Callithrix jacchus: one gene and its partners. The protein of the gene in region 2 interacts with the protein of the main gene of each other region in a pairwise test. Links are inferred from orthologs where the notes say so. Each region holds a gene or a part of one and is shown on either strand. Other genes may lie near its edges.

Evidence for each region.
Region 1: the proteins of CTNNA3 (region 2) and JUP interact in binary tests that used the Homo sapiens proteins (3 or more experiments, as listed by UniProt). The link is inferred for Callithrix jacchus from reciprocal best matches to the Homo sapiens genes CTNNA3 and JUP.
Region 3: the proteins of CTNNA3 (region 2) and PKP3 interact in a two-hybrid assay, tested with the Homo sapiens proteins (2 studies listed by IntAct). The link is inferred for Callithrix jacchus from reciprocal best matches to the Homo sapiens genes CTNNA3 and PKP3.

The regions. Positions count from the first base shown.
Region 1 is NC_133506.1:91,453,655-91,461,374, forward strand, and holds the start of JUP (junction plakoglobin), read left to right. Parts: upstream 1-3,351; 5' UTR 3,352-3,421; coding exon 3,422-3,548; exon of another isoform or gene 3,549-3,864; intron 3,865-7,720. UniProt on the Homo sapiens protein: Common junctional plaque protein. The membrane-associated plaques are architectural elements in an important strategic position to influence the arrangement and function of both the cytoskeleton and the cells within the tissue.
Region 2 is NC_133513.1:62,651,922-62,659,365, forward strand, and holds the start of CTNNA3 (catenin alpha-3), read left to right. Parts: upstream 1-2,793; 5' UTR 2,794-3,737; intron 3,738-6,438; 5' UTR 6,439-6,529; intron 6,530-7,444. UniProt on the Homo sapiens protein: May be involved in formation of stretch-resistant cell-cell adhesion complexes.
Region 3 is NC_133511.1:131,502,046-131,508,972, reverse strand, and holds part of PKP3 (plakophilin-3), read left to right. Parts: intron 1-768; coding exon 769-848; intron 849-970; coding exon 971-1,602; intron 1,603-1,702; coding exon 1,703-1,826; intron 1,827-4,016; coding exon 4,017-4,221; intron 4,222-4,800; coding exon 4,801-4,975; intron 4,976-5,189; coding exon 5,190-5,307; intron 5,308-5,379; coding exon 5,380-5,550; intron 5,551-6,106; coding exon 6,107-6,292; intron 6,293-6,655; coding exon 6,656-6,809; intron 6,810-6,927. UniProt on the Homo sapiens protein: A component of desmosome cell-cell junctions which are required for positive regulation of cellular adhesion. Required for the localization of DSG2, DSP and PKP2 to mature desmosome junctions.

The DNA of each region.
Region 1 (7,720 bases), on a different chromosome or scaffold from region 2:
TTATTCTGAAGCGTTACTTCTGCTCCTCCACCCACATGGGCTCCTCCACCCCTCTCTGCAGTCAACCAGCCCTACCCTGCCTGTTTGCTGAGGTCAGGAGAAATGGGAAGGAGTTAGGCCAGGCTTGGGGCCGGGAAGTATGTTTGTGTGCCTGTGTGGAAATGGGAAGGTGGGAGATGGGCAGGAGGGGGAAGAAATGAAACCCCGGCAGCTTCAGCAGTTCAGGATTGTGAGCCCTTTCTCTCCCCAGCTGTGGCCTGGCCACAGCTCTATGTGACAGGGTGACAAGCAGGTGGATGGGGCAGGGGTAAGGCAGGGATAAAGATAGGGAGGTAAGCTAGAGGAGGGGAAGTTGGGGAAACAAGCAAAGGGCAGTGGCTCTGGGTATGGGATGGCCACTAGTCCAGGGATGTCCATATGTCCCTGGCCCTGCTCTTGGATGGCGTGACTTCAGAAGGGAGAATATTCAGCTGCCAGTCCTTTCTCCAGTGGGGAAAATGGTCAAGGATGCTGCTAAGGTACCTTCATCCAGCCCATCCTGTGTGCTAGCTTTGAGGCTGTAGAGCTTTGTTGATGGGGGACCCTTTTCTTTTCTTTCTTTCCCCCCCCGCCCCGAGATGGAGTTTCGCTCTTGTTTACCCAGGCGGGAGTGCAATGGCGCGATCTCAGCTCACCGCAACCTCCGCCTTCTGGGTTCAGGCAATTCTCCTGCCTCAGCCTCCCGAGTAGCTGGGATTACAGGCGTGAGCCACCGCGCCCGGCCCAAATGGGGGACCCTTTTCTAAACCACCATTCCCCCAGCACCCACCCACAGGCTCCTTCTGCATATCATTCTATGAGCTCAGTGAAGGTTGAGATTTTTATTTTCTGTGTCACCAGGTTTTACTTTCTGTATTCACCAGTGCCTAACATACAGTTGACACTCAATACTCAAGTGCTGAATGAAGGAATGTTTGTAGGGCCCTTGACACACCATACAGCCACCAGCAGCATAAGCAGGATTCACATCATCAACTACAGAAAGGAAGTGTCCTTGTCTTCTTAAGCTGCCTATGAGAAGTTCTTATTTTTTTGAGACAGAGTCTCACTCTGTCACCAGGTTAGAGTGCAATGGCATGATCTTGGCTCATTGCAACCTCTGCCTCCTGGGTTCAAGCGATTCTCCTGCCTCAGCCTCCTGAGTAGCTGGGATTATAGATGCCCACTGCCACACCGGGCTAATTTTTGTATTTTTAGCAGAGACAGTGTTTCACCATGTTGGCCAGGCTGGTCTCGAACTCCTGACCTCAGGTGATCTGCTTGTGTCTGCCTCCCAAATGCTGGGATTACAGGTGCCCACCACCATCCTGGCTAATTTTTGTATTTTTAATAGAGACAGGGTTTCACCACACTGCCCAGGCTGGTCTCAAACTCCTGACCTCAAGTGATCTGCCCACCTTGGCCTCCCAAAGTGCTAGGATTACAGGCACAAACCACCACACCTGGCTGAGAAATTCTTTCTGATCTCTACTCCAGGCTCTCCCACCGTGGAGGGGTATGCTGCCCAGTTTCTTTTTTCCTTGGTTTGAGATGGAGCCTTGCTCTGTCATGCCCAGGCTAGAGTGCAGTGGCAGGATCTTGGCTCACTGCAACCTTTGCCTCCCAAGTTCAAGCAATTCTCCTGCCTCTGCCTCCCAAGCAACTGGGATTACAGGTGCCTGCCACCATGAAAGCCTAACTTCTATTTTTAGTAGAGACGGGGTTTCACCATATTGGCCAGGCTGGTCTCAAACTCTCGACCTCAGGTGATCCACCCGCCTCGGCTTCCCAATGTGCTGGGATTACAGGCGTGAGCCAGTGCACCCCGCCTGCCCTGTTTCTTTCATGCTAGGGCTGGATTTCCTTCAGATCTGCAGCTTGATGTTTCCAAGCCCACCAAAGCCTCCTGACACCAATACTGTATTTTTGGGCCAAGCAGTTGTTCTATCTCACCTCCAATTTTTCTATCTTGTCTCTATCTTGTGCCTTTTCTCTGCCCCTTCCCCACTGCCTTGACATTTTATGTCTATGCTCTTCTTCCATGAGGGGAACAGCTGATTTGGTGGTCCTTCAAATGAGAGGAAGGTGGTTCTAGCTTGGGGTGTGTCACTTTGTAGTTTTGTGATTTCTCTGAACCTCGGTTTCTTCATCTTTACGATGAGGATCATTTTCTAGTCCTATTTTTCAGAGCTGTCACGAGAATTAAAAAAGAAAAACGAAAACAAAAAACCCATACCATTAATTTAAATTCTAATCTTTATCAGTTTCTGAGTGCTTCCACAAACCTGACTTCATTTAATCCCCACATACTCCAGTGAGGTAGATATGGCTAATGTACCCAGTTTACAGATGAGGAGAAACAGCGGGAAGGGTGAAGTAACTTGTCTAAGGTCATAGTAAGCGGCAAAACACAAACCCTGGCCTTCTAATTCTGAATCCCAGAAGTACTCCATCTTTGGGGAAAAAAATCCCAACCCAGCACAAAGCCTATGAAATGCCATACAAATATGTTATTACCACTTTGGGGCAAGGATGAATAAGCCCAAAGAAGCATCATGCCTGACGCTGAGTTGGCTGGCTGGTGAAGGCGTCTGTCCCTTCCCTTGGTATCCCCTGACTTACCTGTTGGACAGGTAGGGGGAAGGGGAGAGTAGTGAGTCTCACCTGCTCAGAGCAAGGGTGGGGCAAGACACACCCCATACCTTCCATTGGTTTTTTTCCTTAGTCTTACTGACAGTCCCTTGCCCAATCAGGAGAAAGTAACTTTCTATCTGCCAATTGGTGAAGTGTTAGGATGAGATCTCAAGTTAGAGTCCATCCCTAGAGCCGACTGGCAGTCCCTGGGGCCAATGGCAAGCGGATAAACAGAGGCGGCCGTGGAGAAGGACTGGACGCGAGGCTCCACCCCTTGACGGGACAGTCAGGCGAGACAGCCAGTGAGCTCGCATCAGCGGGTGGGCGTCTCCCCCAGGGGCGGAGTTTCGAGGTGGCGAGGGGCGTGGCTTGGCTGTCAGGTCTCTTCGCCTTTTGTTCGGTTACTGAGTTGCTGCCTTGGCCAGAGTCCGGAGCAGCCGCCGCCCGAGCGCGCCGAGTTCAGTTCGCTGTCCGCGCCGGCTCCCACCCCGGCCCGATTTCTACCCGGCCGGCCAGGCCCCAGACTCAGGTGCGGGCGATCGAGGACAGGTATCGATGGGGAGAGAAGGGGTGGCGAGCGGCCGCGGGGCCGGTCCCAGCAGTCTCTGGGCAGGTGAGGGCGGGTGCCATGGAGCGCCACCCTGCACTGGCAGCAGGGGGCGCGCTGGGGTCCTGGGCGCGGCGACTGGGGGGGCGCGCGGTTCGGGCCGAGCGCGCTTAGGAGCTCCGCGAGCGGGAGATCTGAGCAGGGCGGGAGGGCTCCGGGCAGATGCCTCGGGGGTCGCGCCCCTCCCGGGGCCCGCACAGCTCGCCCGACGCCGCGTCCCTGACTCTCGTCCTGAGCTGGAGGGGGAGACTTTGCCCTGCTTTGACTGCGTCCCAGGGCTCTCGCTGCAGTCAGTAATTTACCGTTTGGGAAACTTGCTGCCGCTGGTCTCTTTGGGGCCACCCTCACCCCACCCCACGCGTCATCCTCGCTTTCCCTCCCTCTCTACTCCCCCAGGCCTGGGTGGGGCCCTATTGTCTGCGCCCAGCTTGCCCAACTGTGGGGGCCGAGCGCACATTTTCCCAGTGACGCTGGCCCCACCTGCCGAGCAGGTGAGCGCACGGAGTCCAGAGGCCCAGCCCTCCAGCTCCCGGAGCCTCGTCGATACTACCTGCGGCGCCTCCCTCCACTCCAGTGGGTGCCCGGCTCTGGCTTCTCCAGCAGAGGTGGGATGGAGTGACAGTGGGGGCTGGTGCACGGCTCGGCCCAGTGTCCAGCTGGTGTTTGGCACCCGTGGCTCGGTCTGGGGGGAGGGGTCTGTGCACGAGTGAAGCATTCAGGGTCACCTGGCCCAGTTTCCAGTAGCTGTGGCTGCCAGAGTGTTGGTAGGGGAACAGGAATCGTCTTCTTTTCTAACCTCTTATTGTTGGAAAAATCACCCAAAACAAACTTTGCAGGAGGAAGTATTCACAGCAGCGTTCTCTGGGGGTTTTCCCGTCTCCTTGCCCAGAACTTCCTTTAGGCTTAGGAGGTCCTTCTTGGTGCAAAGTCCCCTCCCCCAGCCGGCCCCCGGCTGAACCTGGGCCTTTGCCTGCGCTCTGACCCTGGCTTCCCTGCCCCCACATCCATCCTGTTAGCTGCGCCCCAGGGGCCTGAGGTGGGGGCCGGGGTGGGGTGGGTGGAAAGGGCCGAGAGGGGAAGCAGCTTCTTCCTTCTCTTTCTCTTCCTGCCTCCGGGGACCACCACACCCCCTCAGACATGGCCTGCGTGAGTGGCTCTTTCTCAAGCTCTGCCCCCTCCCCAGGAATGGGGGTGGGGCAGGGCTGGGCCAAGCTAGGAAGGTGGGGGGAATGGATGTTCTTGTCTTTTTTTTTTCTCTACCCCATCCCCCACATTACTTAGCTGGCTGGTAATTGAGGCAGAAGAGCATGAGGCTGTGGGGCTTGCCTTCCATTTGATTTCTGAATTATGAAGGTGCATGCTTTCTGGAGGCCTGGGCAGACCTTTCCTATCCCCTTTCCTGAAAGAATTTGACAGGGAAAGTGAGACTGGAGAAAGGCTTTTGGAGGGGAAGGTTTCTTCAATGTTAGACTCCCTCAGGAGAGGTGAATGCCCCCCCCCACCGCCCCCACCTCCTTCCCTACTCCCAATTTCCTGAGACCCCGCCTCCAGAATTGGGGGTCGTCACCAGGCTTTCTACCCTGGTTTTAAAAAGTCCTAAGTGCGGTCATTTTGCAGGATTTGGAGCCCAGCCTTGGGAACAGAGAGGGAATATAAGAGTTGGGTTCTCTCTCAGTCCTGGGGGTGGGAGAAAGATTGCAGAACTGGGGATCGAGAGTGCTTGGAGGGGAAGAGCCTGCCACCTCTTTCTTTGCTGTAGATGGGGGATTGAGGCTGGGGGGCCAGACTCAGCCCCTTTGTCCTGGGTGGGGATCATGCACAGCCCTGGACCAGGGGGAAGCCAGTGTGGGAACTCAGATCCTTTTCTGCTGGGGAAAGGGGTGCTGCCTGCCTCTGGGGAGCAACAGGGCACGGAGTTTGGGCAAAAATAACCTGCTTTCCCTCTTCTCCGTGCCAAGGTGGAGGAGGGGAGGGCATTGTAATTGTGTTGGCTAAATGATTAGTTTAGCTAATCTGGTTTGTGGCTATGATGAAAAGATACTACTGAGGAAGTACTGCTAGGAGATGCCTGGTGAAAACTGGCCACTGACTGGACTGGGGGCGCGGGGGAGGAGGAGAAGATAGGATCCAGTTAGTCATTTCTTGCTAGATGGAGCCCAGCTTGGGTGACTTGAGCCCTCCCGAACCCACTCCACCCCTCCCCTGCACCCTGGCTCCACCCCATTCCCTCTGGAACTTCTGTTTGGAATGCCAGGGCTGAGGCTTTGAGAATTCAGTGCATAGGAACAAGAAAAGACAGGCTAGGGCTGCCAGCCTTTTTCCCTTCCTGGAGCCACTTTAGGATGAGATCGGTCCATTGACTAGTCTACAGAAGGACTGTTTATTTGGAGAGATGGGATGGTGGGGCAGTTCTGAGCACAGGGCTTTGGGCTTGAACTGAGCTGGGTTTGAGACCCACCTCTGTCCCTCATTCCATTACCTGAGCCTCAGTGACCTCTTTGTCAAAATGGGAATACTAATACCTATCTGCCCTGTAAGTACTTGACAAATGGTAACTCAAGATCAAGGTAAGACTTTACAGAAACCAAGCACTTTCATTAGCTAGTCTCACTTCAAACTTAAGGCTGCCCAGGCTCGATGGCTCAAACCTGTAATCCCAGCACTTTAGGAGGCCCAGAGGGGCAGGTTGCTTGAGCCCAGGAGTTCCAGACCAGCCTGGGCAACATGGCAAAACCCTGTCTCTACAAAAAATAGAAAAATTAACTGGGCATGGTGGTGCAAGCCTGTGGTCCCGGCTACTGGGAAGGCTGAGGTGGGAGTATTACCTGAGTCCAGGGAGCTCAAGGCTGCAGTGAGCTGTGTCACCGTACTCCAGCCTGGGCTACAGAGTGAGCCTCTGTCTCAGAAAAAAAGAAGCGGGTATCATTATCCCCATTCTACAGATGAGGAAATTGAAACTCAGGGAACTTAAGTAATTTGCCCAGGGTCGTACAGTGAGACCCAAGCAGCACCAAGACTGGCATTTGGGCCCTGATTCCAAGCCCAGAACCCATCCTGCCGTATTGCCTCATGTAGCTCTGAAAAGGATTTTTTTTTCTTGAGATGGAATCCGCTCTGTCACCAGTCTGAAGTGCAGTTGTGCAATCTCGGCTCACTGCAACCTCCACCTCCCGGGTTCAAGTGACTGTCCTGCCTCAGCCTCCCAAGTAGCAGGGATTATAGGCTCGGGCCACCATGGCTGGCTAATTTTTTGTATTTTTAGTAGAGACAGGGTTTTGCCACGTTGGGCAGGCTGGTCTCGAACTCCTGGCCTCAGGTGATCCATCTGCCTCAGCTTCCCAAAGTGCTGGGATTACAGGTGTGAGTGGAAGTTTCTGCACTCCCTTTTGAGAGCCTCTGGCTGAGAAGAGAATAAAGAATGTGGCTGGTGAATGTAGGGCAGGTTTGGTAGGCACGAGTGATACCTGTCCCGGCCAGCAGCCCTCTGAAACCTCCCCAGTGGCTTGATCTTTAGTTCCCAGTGGAGGAGGCTTCTCCGTAAGGCAGGGCTGTGGTGAGTGTTGGGAGGAGGTTGAGCAGGAAACAGGAGGCCGGGGTCAAAGCTGTGCTGCCTCCTAGCTTGACTTAGGTAGAACCATGGGTGTTTTGGGCTTGTCCCTGTGTAAGAGGTGGGAGTTGCCTGCTTTGCTGGAGGCTGGGGTTGTGCCAAGATAACGGGGTGCTGCTCTGTGGGGAGTGGAGAGAAACGGGAGTCTGATTTAGGCCTGGGCTAATGCCCTGCTGGAGTGGGCCAGGCAGTGCTGCCAGGCTGCTCTTGACGGGGAACTGGCTGTCCTCTGCTCTGGAGCCCAAGAGACCTGAGATAGGCAGCTGCCGGGAGGGCCTTTCTGGTGATGGAGGTAGGGGGCATGCGTGCTGCCTGTCAGCCAGAGCCTTGGCCCTCTAGGGAGGAGCTGGTGTCAGATTGTCCTCCAGACCTGCCTGGTTCTGGCGTTGCTGCCAGCTGGACATCTGACACCAGAATGGGCGTGGATTTGGGGTCTGGGAAATGGGTTCTCTTTATGTGATGGTGCAGCCGGAGTACCAAGCTTGCCACTACCATTCTGCATCCCATGAGGGCAGGTGGGGACCCTGGGCCTGGGGATGATTGATTGTGGAGAAGGCTAATGGGACTTGAGACAGAGGAAAAGAGAATGCACCCTGTCCTGCTGACTGACTGCTACCGAGAGGGCATGAGGTTGCAGGTTTCCGCCTCCCCTGAGGACATGAGAGCTACAGCACGATGCTCTTACAGAAGGGACGAAGCCTAGATGGGAGGAAGGGCTTTCTGCCTTCTACAGACAGATCTTGAGTTGAGGGGTAAGAGGGAGAGGCGGAGGCGCAGCATTGACTCTTCTCTGATGAGGGCCGTCCTGTCTGGCAGGGAGGCCAGGCAGGAATCACCGCCCTTTGGGGAGACTC
Region 2 (7,444 bases):
AAATGAGTGTTCTTGTTTCTCCCCTTCCTGACTGAATGAATATGTAAGGTCTGAAGGTATAGCAACCATATTGGGACTATGAGATGAAAATATGTACGTGCATATAGAAAATGGCAAAGCAGAAAGGTGGAAAGAGGCGTTTCCTGTTCCATTTGAGAATTTCCTATTCCCAGATTTCTTTGTTCTTTCTTTTAAAAAAAAATGGTGACAAGTGACTATATATTTGAAACATCATTTCTTATTTATTTAAAAAAATTTCTTGAAACAATAAGATATGATTTCATGAGAAAAAAGAGTTGTCAAATGAAGCTCCCTTTACAGCTTGGAGAATACTATTTAGAAATAAAATTGATAATTAATTTGCCTTTTTGATGGAATGTTTTCATTTATAATTTTGGATATCGCCCTTTCTTGGATTAACTTTTTTTTTTTTTGAGACAGCGTTTCACTTTTGTTGTCCAGGTTGGAGTGCGGTGGCACTATCTTGGCTCACTGCAACCTCTACCTCCTGGGTTCAAGCGATTTTCCTGCCTCAGCCTCCAAGTAGCTGAAATTACAGGCTCCTGCCCCCACGGCCAGCTAATTTTTGTATTTTTAGTAGAGACGGGGTTTTCACCATGTGGGCCAGGCTGGTCTTGAACTCCTGACTTCAGGTCATCTATCCGCCTCTGCCTCCCAAAGCGCTGGGATTACAGGTGTGAGTCACTGTGCCCAGCCAGGATTGGCATTTTAATGCAGTGTCAAATATTTTTTAATTTTTTAAATGGAAATGAGTAAGTTATACACCATTTTATTCTCTTGGATACAGGAATGGTATTAATCTCCCAGGTTTTTCGAGACAAATCTCTATGAGTTTAAGCCACTAGAATTGGATTTTCTGTTATTTGCGGCTAAATGTAATCCTGACTGATACAGGAAAGGCGACCAGTTAGGAAACTAATGCAGTTGCTTTTAAGTGACTTAAATGGGGGAGGAAATGGTGGGGATTGGGCACAGAGGATGGATTGAAAATGTAAATATGGTCAAGAGATCGAGACCATCCTGGTCAACATGGTGAAACCCCGTCTCTACTAAAAATTACAAAAAATTAGCTGGGCATGGTGGCGCGTGCCTGTAATCCCAGCTACTCAGGAGGCTGAGGCAGGAGAATTGCCTGAACCCAGGGGGCGGAGGTTGCGGTGAGCCGAGATTGCGCCATTGCACTCCAGCCTGGGTAACAAGAGCGAAACTCCGTCTCAAAAAAAAAAAAAAAAAAAAAAAAAAAAAAAAAAAAAAAAAAGAAAATGTAAATATGGGCTGGGTGCGGTGGCTCATGCCTGTAATCCCAGCACTTTGGGAGGCTGAGGTGGGTGGATCATGAGGTCAGGAGTTCAAGACCAGCCTGGCCAAGATGGTGAAATCCGGTCTCTACGAAAAATACAAAAAAACTAGCTGGCATGATAGCGGGCACCTGTAATCCCAGATACTCGGGAGGCCAAGGCAGAGAATTACTTGAACCTGGGAGGTGGAGGTTGCAGTGAGCCGAGATCACGCCACTACACGCCAGCCTGGGCAGCGGAGTGAGACTCCGTCGCAAAAAAAAGAAAAAAGAAAATGTAAATGTGGTGAGTGTGTGTGTTTGTTCAGTCAGGTCTCAAATAGGATGGGGCTGTGTGGGTGGAATCCACTTCAGGTACCACGGAAAACTATCCCTAGCCTTGAAGTATCAGGGAAGTCCATAAAAGCACCTGGGAAGCATGGAGTGGGAGAGAGATGGTGAAAGTGGGTGGAAGGTAGCAGACAGGGGATGTGTAGGGTTTCAAAGATTAACCTCACAATTTTCTTATTTGAAACATAATACTGGGTCCATGTAGAAATTTTAGAAAACCCAGTTAAGGAAAAAACTATTTAAGAAAATAAAAAGCTCCCCAAATCACAACACCCAGGGATAATAATCCCTGCTAACATTTTGGTGTATTTCTTTCCAGTCTCCATTCATTCTCCAGCTCTCTCTCTCTCTCTCCCATTCTTCCCACATAGATGGGTATACACAGGAATTGCTTAACAAAAACGTCATCATAATATGATATGCTGTTTTTTGATCTGTCCTACTTTTTGCATTTGGCAATGCATTGGGAAGGCCCGCCCACATTATTAACACAATTTTAATGGCTTCATGTGTAGTGTTTCATTATGTGAATGTATCTAAGATGCTTTATAAGTAGAACTTTAAAATTGCTTTTATTATCTTCCATTTCATATCACGTTTGGATGTGGTCTGGAAACCATTGGAAGTGATTCTGGGATGAAAGGGAAGGTGGCTAGGTTTGTTCTTAGTTTAGTAAGGTGTAGTATCATCAGGCTGTGATAACCCGAAAACTTGCGTCAATATTTATATTCATTTTATTTCTATTTTGCCAAGTTGCTCTTCACATAGTGCACGAAGACCTACTTTGCCTTTTAGGACAGTGGAAGGACTTCTCTCTTGGTGTAAACAGTGCATATTTGCAGCACTGATTTTTATCGGCTTTTTTACAGCGTGTAAAACGACTCCGTTAGCTGACAGGTATGGAAAATACGGAGGAAAGAGTAAGAGGTTCCATTTGAAGGCGTCTAATTAAAAAAAAAAAAAAAATCGAAAAGATCAGAAGCACCCGCTTTCGCAGCGAGCAGGGTTCGAACCTGCGCGGGGAGACCCCATTGGATTTCAAGTCCAACGCCTTAACCACTCGGCCATCGCTGCCATGAAGAGATAGGGGAGGCGGAGACACTTTAGTGTAACCACTACTGCGCTGGCGCCAGGCCCGTGAAGGCGGGGCGTGCACCCTTCTGAGCTCTGCTCGGTGAGAGGCGTCGGGGCTGAGGACTTGGGGTGCGGGAACTACAGCGTGGACACGAAGAAATAATAGAAAGCACCCTATGTAGAGGTATATTCAGATGTTAGAAACTCTTCCCTTCGCTGTGCTCCGAAAATCGCAACCTTGCCTGGCTTCTGGTCACTGACCTGGTTTTCCCCCTCCCGCTTCTTTATTAGGTCTACCAGAGGGCCGTGAAACAAAGATCTGTTCCGTTCCGTGCTGCGGGCCCGCGCTCCCGAAAATTTTGCATTTCTGTGAGAGGAGCGTCTTCCGTGGCGTTTCCCGCCAAGACGGGGGTCTCCTTCAGAACAGTTTCTTTTGCTGATTGAGCCTGGAAGCGTGACGAACCGGGATACTGGCCATCCTTCCCGGGCTTCTGCCCAAGCAGCCGTCTCCCAGTTTTTAAATTCCCAGTGATCCCCTCATTGCCGAGCTTAACCGTGAGACGTCAGGCTCCAAGAGTGCTCTGCGTTCTATCAGCAGACGGGTGGCCTGGAACGTTGTCTGAGAACCAAGTTCTGCGCATTAGTCTGCATTCATTACCATTAAATGCCATTAATGCCTTCCCGGGTTCGGTGTGGCTTCTGCCCTAGGTGCTTTATCCGCGTTATTTCTTCAAACTCTGAGAACCGAGGTCTGTGCTGTCTTCGGCCACCTCAGGGCACTGAGACTTGGGTTTGTGTCCGCGGGTTGGCGCGGCTTATGCGCGGCACGTGGCGCCACGGGAGAGCCAAGTTCCGTCGATGGACAATTTGAGACAAAGAAGGCCTTTCACTAGGTTAAGTTTCTAGAAGTGTTCGTGGATGTGCCACCGTCATTCTCATAATGGCACATTTCATAATAAGGAGGGCAACTCGACCTTTGGAAGCCTCTCTACGTTAAGTGATTCCACTTGATAAGGTGTGTAAATTTTCTTGAGACCTTCTCATACCATTCTCGAAACCAAATTATGGTGCTAAGTGTCTACACTCACTTAATTGTGGAAGAGGAGCGGAATATTTGAGACTTGTAAGGACAAATTTTGTCTTATTTGAGATTGTTCTTTTAGGCATTTTATCTTTAAAAAAAAATTTTGGCAGAGCTACCAGAGGGATCCCATTTTGTCTGAATACTGCATGGGAACAAAGTAATTCCCAACATTGCCAGGCATAAATTTTATCGTAAACACAAAATTCACTTGCACTTTTTCCAGTAGATACTGTCCAAGAACTGTTTTTATTCTTTAATCTTGTCCTTAGATTGTACCTGTGTCCTGAGATAACCTAGAATTTAACCTTACCATTTTCCTTCTTATATTTTAATTTTGAAGCCCTTTTTATCTATCTGTACCGCTGAATGATGATAATATTTACTGAAAGCACTTTTTCTTCTGTAACCTTCCCTTCCCCTTTAAAGAATCCTCTTCACTTGTTTAAAAGCTTGACAGTAATGGGAATTGATTATGGTTAAAATTGCTCAATCAAAATTTTTACTTTGAGAGGGCTTTTTTTTGGGGGGGAGGGGAAGGCAAGACTATGAGGAAAATAATCGATTCTAAAGTTATGGTGTATTTTGTGAGAACAGTTGTGATTAAAATGTCTTTGCAACATTTCAAGTGAAATACCTATATTTAACATTTAAACTTTTAGCTTGTTTGAGTTAATGCAGGCTTTTAAAACAGTGAAATAATATTTTTTTTGCTGTTATCATAGTGCTAGAGTGAGCCAAGAGATCAAAATTGGTATAGACTCCACCCCCCAAAAGTGTGAATTTCCAAATCCAAATGAGTTATTTTGGCTCCAATCTTAGGTCTCTACCATTGTCACCTTTTTGTTTTTTGTTTTTTTGAGACAGAGTCTTAACTCTGTTGTCGAGGCTGGAGTGCAGTGGAGTGATCTCAGCTCACTGCAAACTCTGCCTCCCAGCCTCAAGCAATTCTCCTGCCTCAGCTTCCTGAGTAGCTGCGATTACAGGCACTCGCCCCCATGCTCAGCTAATTTTTGTATTTTTAGTAGAGATGGGGTTTCACCATGTTGGTCAGGCTGGTCTCGAACTGCTGACCTCATGATCCGCCCACTTTGGCCTCCCAAAGTGCTGGGCTTACAGGTGTGAGCCACCACGCCTGGCCTTTAGCATTGTCATTTAATGCAGTGAGTGGCAAGTTAGGAATACAGAAGTAAAATACATATGTTTCTAATTCATGACAATAATAACATAAAACGTTGTTTTGCAACCATGTGCAAAGTTTAGTTTGTACAGAGCCACTGGTGATCCTGATGATCTCCTCCCTGCCACTCCCTGTTTCTGTTCTTTTATGTGGCAGTTTCTATTAAGCTAATTTGGCTTAACAGGGCATGTGATTGGGAGCAGCATGGCATTTCTTTGTTCTTTTATAGCAAATCAGAAATTTATCTTAAATTATTTTGATGGTTTTGGGAGCATTTTATAAAATCATAGAAGTTTAATGCTGGAAGAAATATTAAAGCTGGTCCAATCTCTTCATCTAGAGATGGGAAACTGGGGCCCATGAATAGCCTGCCCAAGTTCACATAGCTAATTACAGTCACGCATCTCATAATGACACTTGGGTCAATGGTGGACCACATATACAGCAGCAGTCCCATAAAACTTTAATACTGTATTTTCACTGTATATTTTCTTTGTTTAGATAGATATGTTTATATACACAAACACTATTATGTTACAGTTGCCTACTGAATATGCTGTATATGTTTGTAGTCCAGGAGCAATAGGCTACACCAGTGGTCCCCAACCTTTTTGCCACCAGAGACCAGTTTTGTGGAAGACAATTTTCCACAGGCTGGGGGAGGAGGGATGGTTTTGAGATGATTCAAGTGTATTACATTTAGTCTACACTTTATTTCTATTATTATTACATTGTAATACATAGCTCACCATAATGTAGAATCAGTGGGAGCCCTGAGCCTGAGCTTGTTTTCCTGCAGCTAGACAGTCCCATCTGGGGGTGATGGGAGGCAGTGACAGATCATCAGGCAATAGATTTTCATAAGGAATACACAACCTAGATCACAGTAGGTTGTGCACTTTATAGTAGGGTTCATGCTCCTATGGGAATCTAATGCTGATCTGACAGGAGGTGGAGCTCAGGTGGTAATGTGAGCAATGGGTAATGGCTGTGCATCAAGATGAAGGTTTACTCTCTCGCCTGCTCACCTCCTGCTATGTGGCATGGTTCCTAATAGGCCTCGGAGCAGTACTAGTTGGGGTACTGGAACTATATTATACAGACTAAGTGTGTGGTAGTCCATACCATCTAGATTTGTTTAAGTATACTCCACAACGTTTGCACATTGATGAAATCATCTAAGGATGGATTTTTCAGAATATATCCTTGTCATTAAGTGACACATGAGTGTATTGGCAGACAGGGCTATAACTTGTAATATTAGCTTAGTGTTCTCACTCGTTTTGTTGCCTTCATGTATTATTTGTTATTTTCTGGCACAATGGCACATAAATTGAGATGTGTAGATGGCAATAGGCAAAACCTCCAGCAGGGAAGAGTCACGAGTTGAATGTTGACGGCATATGAGATGTCAGATAATGTGTTGTGATGAGTATTTTTTGTTCTTTATTCCAGCATTTATCCTCCTGACATTGACACCTCAGTTGTACTTAAGGAGCACACCCCTCCGTCATTGAATGAAGCATTACTTTGTCTATCAATCAAGGTATCCCACCCTCCTCTGGCCAAAGAGTGGGCATGTGACTTGTATTTGTTTTCTATTGCTGCATGAGAAAGAGCCATGAACTTAGTGGCTTAAAGCAACACAAATTTATTACCTCACAGTTTCTGTAGGTCAGGAGTGTGGTTATGTGTTGACTGGGTCCTTTGCTCAGGGTTTCATCAGGTCTCAAGGTGGTGACTGGGGCTGCAGTCTCATCTGAGGTTTGGGGTCATCTAAGATAACTAGTTGTTGGCAGAATTTAGCTCCTGTGGTTGTTAGACTTGCTGGTTGTCAGTAGGGGGGCATTTTCACTTCCTATAGGCTGCCCACTGTTCCTTGCCATGTGGCTGTTTCAACAACATGGTACTTTGCTTCTTCAAGGTCAGCATGATAATTCCTCTGATGTCTGCTCAAATAGAGTTTTATATAATAGAATGCAACTATGAAAGTGATTATTCTATTATATTCACAAGTCCTGTCCAAGTGAAAGGGATTATTTAGGGTGTGTAACAGCAGGGTTTGGAATCTTGGGGCCATCTTAGAATTTTGCCTACCACACAATTCAGGCTGGACTAATCAGATCCCAAATCCCTGTTCTTTCTTTTACGCAATTGGATTATGAAAATTACACACAAAACACATAATAACCAACAAGAGGTGATCAAAGTATGGTAATTTTAACTTAGCTGCCTTGTGTGCTTTTGCATATCACCTGAAAGGAATAGGTTTGACAACTGCAGAGTTTTAGAGGCTTTGCCACTATTTAGGATTCTTCTTTGTAATTTTATATGAGTTGGAGAATAACTCTAGGTATATGTTTTGGATACCATATGTGAGAGGACTTAGTACAAGTTGGACAAAGAAAATTATGAAGTTATTAGCAATAAAACTTTTATTAAGATTTAGTCAGTAAATTAA
Region 3 (6,927 bases), on a different chromosome or scaffold from region 2:
CACCACCACCATCCTCCTGCCCCTCACTCCATCCTCCCCCCTCCACACCCACCCTCCCCCTGCCCCTCACTCCATCCTCCTTCCTCCACCCCCACCCTCCTCCTGCCCATCACTCCACCTCCCCCCCCCCGCTCTCTGCCCTCCTCCTGCCCATCACTCCATCCTCCCCCCTCCCCCCACCCACCTACCTGTCTGTCCACTCACTGTGGGGCTGGGCTGATGCAGCTGCCCTTGGCCTGTGTGCGGCTGGATGGGATGGGTGTGGCCCCTGCCTCGGGCTCTGCCAGGTGGGAGAGGGCACTGCAACAGGACATACTGGTCTAGAGAGACAGGGCACTCTCCGGTGACTGGGCACAGATGAGGTCTGGGCACAGGAGGAGCTCAAAAAAAGTCAGTGTGGGCCGGGGCAGACTAGGATGGCTTCCTGGAGGAGGGGGCCAGGTGCTATACCATGGCAGGGATTGGACAGAGAGTCCCTGGCACATTCCCCAGGGACCAGGAGGTCAGAGGGTGAGCGCATCTGCCTTCTCCGGTAGAGGAGGCACAGCTGGGGGGTGGGCTGTGGAAGGTGGACCACCAGGCTGACAGGTGAGGAGATCAGGACATGGCAGGAACGGGGAGGCACTGGCCCCCGGGCCCGCCTGGCCTCCCTGCCCGGGACTGAGGCTGCTCCCAGGGTTGTGAATGGAGATGGACTGGTGGAGAGGAGGCAGGAGGCCAGTGAGTTGCTGTCTGGCAGAGCTGGACTCCCACTGTCCCTCTCCGCAGGTGCATCCAGGGGGCAGTACCACACCCTGCAGGCCGGCTTCAGCTCTCGCTCTCAGGGCCTGAGTGGGGACAAGACCTTGGTGAGTGATGGCCCAGCCTGGGGGGGGGCAATCTGGGCTCTGCAGTCTGGAGAGCGGGAGGCTCTGCAGCAGGCTGGGCACAGGTGAGCCAGGCGCGTCCTCACTGCCCCCTCCACCCACAGGGCTTCCGGCCCATTGCCAAGCCACCCTACAGTCCAGCCTCCTGGTCCTCCCGCTCTGCCGTGGACCTGAGCTGCAGTCGGAGGCTGAGTTCCGCCCACAACGGGGGCAGCGCCTTTGTGGCCGCTGGGTACGGGGGTGCCCAGCCCACCCCTCCCATGCCCACCAGGCCTGTGTCCTTCCACGAGCATGGTGGGGTTGGGAGCAGGGCCGAGTATGACACGCTGTCCCTGCGCTCCCTGCGGCTGGGGGCTGGGGGCCTGGACGACCGCTACAGTGTGGTGTCTGAGCAGCTGGAGCCCGCGGCCACCTCCACCTACAGGACCTTTGCCTACGAGCGCCAGGCCAGCTCCAGCTCGGCCCGGGCAGGGGGGCTGGACTGGCCAGAGGCCAGCGAGCTTCCCCCGAGCCGGACCATCCGTGCCCCTGCTATGAGGACCCTGCAGCGATTCCAGAGCAGCCACCGGAGCCGCGGGGTAGGCGGGACAGCGCCTGGGCCCGTCCTGGAGCCTGTGGCCCGAGCACCATCTGTGCGCAGCCTCAGCCTCAGCCTGGCTGACTCAGGTCACCTGGGGGACGTGCGTGAGTTCAACAGCTACAGTGGCCACCGAACCCTGCAGAGGCTCAGCAGCGGGTGAGGGGCTGTGCCTGGCACAGGGAGGGGGCTTCTGCCATGGCCCCAGCCTGAACCCAAGTTTAGCCTGACCCCTGACCTCTGACTCCTGGCTCTGCAGTTTTGATGACATTGACCTGCCATCAGCAGTCAAGTACCTCATGGCTTCAGACCCCAATCTGCAAGTGCTGGGAGCAGCCTACATCCAGCACAAGTGCTACAGCGATGCCGCCGCCAAGAAGCAGGTGACCACCCCTGACCGCCCGCTCACTGCCCCCAGGTGACCACCCCTGACCACCCGCTCACTGCCCCCAGGTGACCACCCCTGACCACCCGCTCACTGCCCCAGGTGACCACCCGCTCACTGCCCCCAGGTGACCACCCCTGACCACCCGCTCACTGCCCCCAGGTGACCACCCGCTCACTGCCCCCAGGTGACCACCCCTGACCGCCCGCTCACTGCCCCAGGTGACCACCCCTGACCGCCCGCTCACTGCCCCCAGGTGACCACCCCTGACCACCCGCTCACTGCCCCCAGGTGACCACCCCTGACCGCCCGCTCACTGCCCCCAGGTGACCACCCCTGACCACCCGCTCACTGCCCCCAGGTGACCATCCCTGACCACCTGCTCACTGCCCCCAGGTGACCACCTTTGGGGCTCCACCACCTCCCACTGACCTTTGCTCCCTGACCACCCCTCAAGATCCCCAGGCTGACTGGGCAGACCCTACTCTGTCCAGAGCCCCCTCATAAAGGAAGAGTAGGAGAATACAATGTGGATATACCTGTATCAGCCACATATACCTATACAGACCTGCATCACCTCCATACCCTATACAGATCTGCACCACCTCCGTAGCCCTGTACACACCTGCATCACCTCTGTACCCTTGTACACACCTACATCACCTCCATAGACCTGTGTACACACCTGCATCACCTCCGTAGCCTTGTACACACCTACATCACCTCCGTAGCCCCGTGTACACACCTGCACCACCTCCGTAGCCCTGTACACACCTGCATCACCTCCGTAGACCCGTGTACATGTGCATCACCTCCGTAGCCCCGTGTACACACCTGCATCACCTCCGTAGCCCCGTGTACATGTGCACCACCTCTGTAGCCCCGTGTACACACCTGCACCACCTCCGTAGCCCGGTGTACACACCTGCACCACCTCCGTAGCCCCGTGTACACACCTGCACCACCTCCGTAGCCCCGTGTACACACCTGCACCACCTCCGTAGCCCCGTGTACACACCTGCACCACCTCCGTAGCCCCGTGTACACACCTGCACCACCTCCGTAGCCCCGTGTACACACCTGCACCACCTCCGTAGCCCCGTGTACACACCTGCACCACCTCCGTAGCCCCGTGTACACACCTGCACCACCTCCGTAGCCCCGTGTACACACCTGCACCACCTCCGTAGCCCCGTGTACACACCTGCACCACCTCCGTAGCCCCGTGTACACACCTGCACCACCTCCGTAGCCCCGTGTACACACCTGCACCACCTCCGTAGCCCCGTGTACACACCTGCACCACCTCCGTAGCCCCGTGTACACACCTGCACCACCTCCGTAGCCCCGTGTACACACCTGCACCACCTCCGTAGCCCCGTGTACACACCTGCATCACCTCCGTAGCCCCGTGTACACACCTGCACCACCTCCGTAGCCCCGTGTACACACCTGCATCACCTCCGTACCCTTGTACACACCTGCACCACCTCCGTAGCCCCGTGTACACACCTGCATCATCTCCGTAGCCCCGTGTACACACCTGCACCACCTCCGTAGCCTTGTACACACCTGCACCACCTCCGTAGCCCTGTACACACCTGCACCACCTCTGTAGCCCCGTGTACACACCTGCATCACCTCCGTAGCCTTGTACACACCTGCACCACCTCCGTAGCCCTGTACACACCTGCACCACCTCTGTAGCCCCGTGTACACACCTGCATCACCTCCGTAGCCCCGTGTACACACCTGCATCACCTCCGTAGCCCCGTGTACACACCTGCATCACCTCCGTACACCTGTGTACACCTGCATCACCTCCGTACACCTGTACACACCTGCATCACCTCCAGCTCCCTGCACACACCTCATCACCTCTGCACCTCTGTATACACCTGCATCACCTCCGTAGACCTGTGTACACACCTGCATCACCTCCGTACACCTGTGTACACCTGCATCACCTCCGTACACCTGTGTACACCTACACCACCTCCAGCTCCCTGCACACACCTCATCACCTCTGCACCTGTGTACACCTGCATCACCTCCAGCTCCCTGCACACACCTCATCACCTCTGCACCTGTGTATACACCTGCATCACCTGCATATCCATATCTATACACCTGGACATATCTACACACATGTATCTAGTCTGTTCACCCCATATCCCTGTGCCCACAGGCCCGCAGCCTTCAGGCCGTGCCGAGGCTGGTGAAGCTCTTTAACCATGCCAACCAGGAAGTGCAGCGCCACGCCACAGGCGCCATGCGCAACCTCATCTACGACAATGCAGACAACAAGCTGGCGCTGGTGGAGGAGAACGGGATCTTTGAGCTGCTTCGGACCCTGCGGGAGCAGGACGATGAGCTTCGCAAAAACGTCACAGGTGCTGCCTGGCCCCTCCTCCTCCCAGCCTTCCTCCACCTGCCCTCCATCTGTCCTCCCTCCTCCACCTACACCCTCTGCCTGGCCCCATTCCTCCTGTCCTGTGTCCCCCGACCTGTTCTCCCTCCTCTACCTCCAACTCCTCTGCCTGTCCCTTCCTCCGCCTGACCCCTCTTCTGCCTGTTCCCCTCCCTCCTCCGACTGTCCTTTCTCCTCCGTGCTGGCCCCTCCACGCCATACGGCTCCCCTCCATCCTGCTGTTCAGCCCTTTGCTGGCTGTTTCTACTTGGCCTCCACTCCTGCCTCTTTCCTGGACCCCTGGTCACCCTGTTCTGCGGCTGAGTCTTCTGGTAGCTACCTCCACCCCAAGCCCGCTCACACCCCAACCAGCTCGTCCCCTCTTGCTTGGTCCGAGCTCTGTCACCCCAGATGCCACCCCAGGGTCTCCCCAGTGGGGCTCGTGAATGAGGCACAGAACACAGGGCCAGCCCTGGGGAGAGGCAGGACCTCCTCGCACCATCCTCAGAAACGCCCAGGGGGTTGGAGGGCTGACGCTCACAGCAGCCTCCCCCTCGTCCAGGAATCCTGTGGAACCTTTCATCCAGCGACCACCTGAAGGACCGCCTGGCCAGAGACACTCTGGAACAGCTCACCGACCTGGTGCTGAGCCCCCTGTCGGGGTCTGGGGGTCCCCCACTCATCCAGCAGAACGCCTCAGAGGCGGAGATCTTCTACAACGCCACCGGCTTCCTCAGGTGCGCGGCCTCGGCAGATGGGTGGGGGCCGCAGGCACGTGTTGTCAGGGACCCCGCCTGGCCCGGCGCCCACAGCCCCACACACTGCAAGGGGCGCACTGGGGGTGGGGCGAGCAGGGCCCAGGGTGGGACGGCATCGTGCTCAGGGCCTCTGCCCAAAGCAGGGCCTGGGCCTGGGGGTCCCTGGGGGGCTCTGATCTGCCTCTGTCCCCAGGAACCTCAGCTCAGCCTCTCAGGCCACTCGCCAGAAAATGCGGGAGTGCCACGGACTGGTGGACGCCCTGGTCACCTACATCAACCACGCCCTGGACGTGGGCAAGTGCGAGGACAAGGTGAGGTCCGCGCTGCGGAGGGGGGCCCGTGGCCCTCGACGCCGCCGCCCTGACCCGCGCCCCTGCCCGCAGAGCGTGGAGAACGCGGTGTGCGTGCTGCGGAACCTGTCCTACCGCCTGTACGACGAGATGCCGCCTTCTGCGCTGCAGCGGCTGGAGGGCCGCGGCCGCAGGGACCTGGCCGGGGCGCCGCCGGGCGAGATGGTGGGCTGCTTCACGCCGCAGAGCCGGCGGCTGCGCGAGGTGGGCACCGGCCTGGGCGGGGCGTGCGGGGTGGGCGGGCACCGGCCTGGGCTGGGCGTGGGGAGTCGGTGGGCACAGGCCTGGGTGGGGTGTGGGGTGTGCGGGCAACGGCCTGGGTGGGGCGCGGACACCAGCCTGGGCGGGGCGTGTGGGGTGGGCGGGCACCGGCCTGGGCGGGGCGTGGGGAGGGGCGGGCACCAGCCTGGGCGGGGCGTGGGGAGGGGCAGGCACCAGCCCGGGCGGGGCGTGGGGAGGGGCGGGCACCGGCCTGGGCGGGGCGTGGGGAGGGGCGGGCACCGGCCTGGGCGGGGCGTGGGGAGTCGATGGGCACAGGCCTGGGTGGGGCGTGGGGTGTGCGGGCAACGGCCTGGGTGGGGCGTGGACTCCAGCCTGGGCGGGGCGTGTGGGGTGGGCGGGCACCGGCCTGGGCGGGGCGTGCGGGGCGTGCGGGCACCGGCCTGGGCGGGGCGTGGGGGTGGGCGGGCACAGGCCTGGGCGGGGCGTGGGGGGTGTGGGTCCGACCCCGCCCCGCTGACCCCGGCCCCGCCCCGCGCAGCTGCCTCTCACAGCCGACGCGCTCACCTTCGCGGAAGTGTCCAAGGACCCCAAGGGCCTCGAGTGGCTGTGGAGCCCCCAGATCGTGGGGCTGTACAACCGGCTGCTGCAGCGCTGCGAACTCAACCGGCACACGACAGAGGCGGCCGCGGGGGCGCTGCAGAACATCACCGCGGGCGACCGCAGGGTGGGCGCACCCCCAGACCCAGGGGCTCCCGAGAGTTCATGCTGCGGGGGGAGGGGCAGGAGAGGAAGGGGGAGGGGAGGAGGCAGGTGGTGCCTCGGAGCATCTGAGGCCAGCGACCGGTGGGCAGGCCTTGGGCCTTGGGAGGACTTAGGTTTTGCCCTGAGTTTGAAGGGAGGCACCTGATCCTGCCTGGGCTGACGCCCCTGGCTTTGTCCCTGGGGGCAAAGGCAGAAGCAGAGCCCCCACCCCCCGGGGTGGCAGGAGGATGCAGGGACCCCAGGGTGGCAGGATCCCCCCAGGTGAGGGTCTGAGGCCTCCGGTCACCGCGCGTGCCTCCCTCCCTCCCTCCCTCTCTCCCTGCAGTGGGCGGGGGTGCTGAGCCGCCTGGCACTGGAGCAGGAGCGGATCCTGAACCCCCTGCTGGACCGCGTCCGCACTGCCGACCACCACCAGCTTCGCTCGCTGACCGGCCTCATCCGAAACCTGTCTCGGAACGCGCGGAACAAGGACGAGATGTGTGAGTCGAGCAGCCCCGTTCCCGCCCCGCCGTGTCCACACACGTTACGGGGGCTCCCGGCCACTCCACAGGGAGTAGACAGGCACGCAGCTCCCTGGGGGAGGCAGGGGACCCCCAG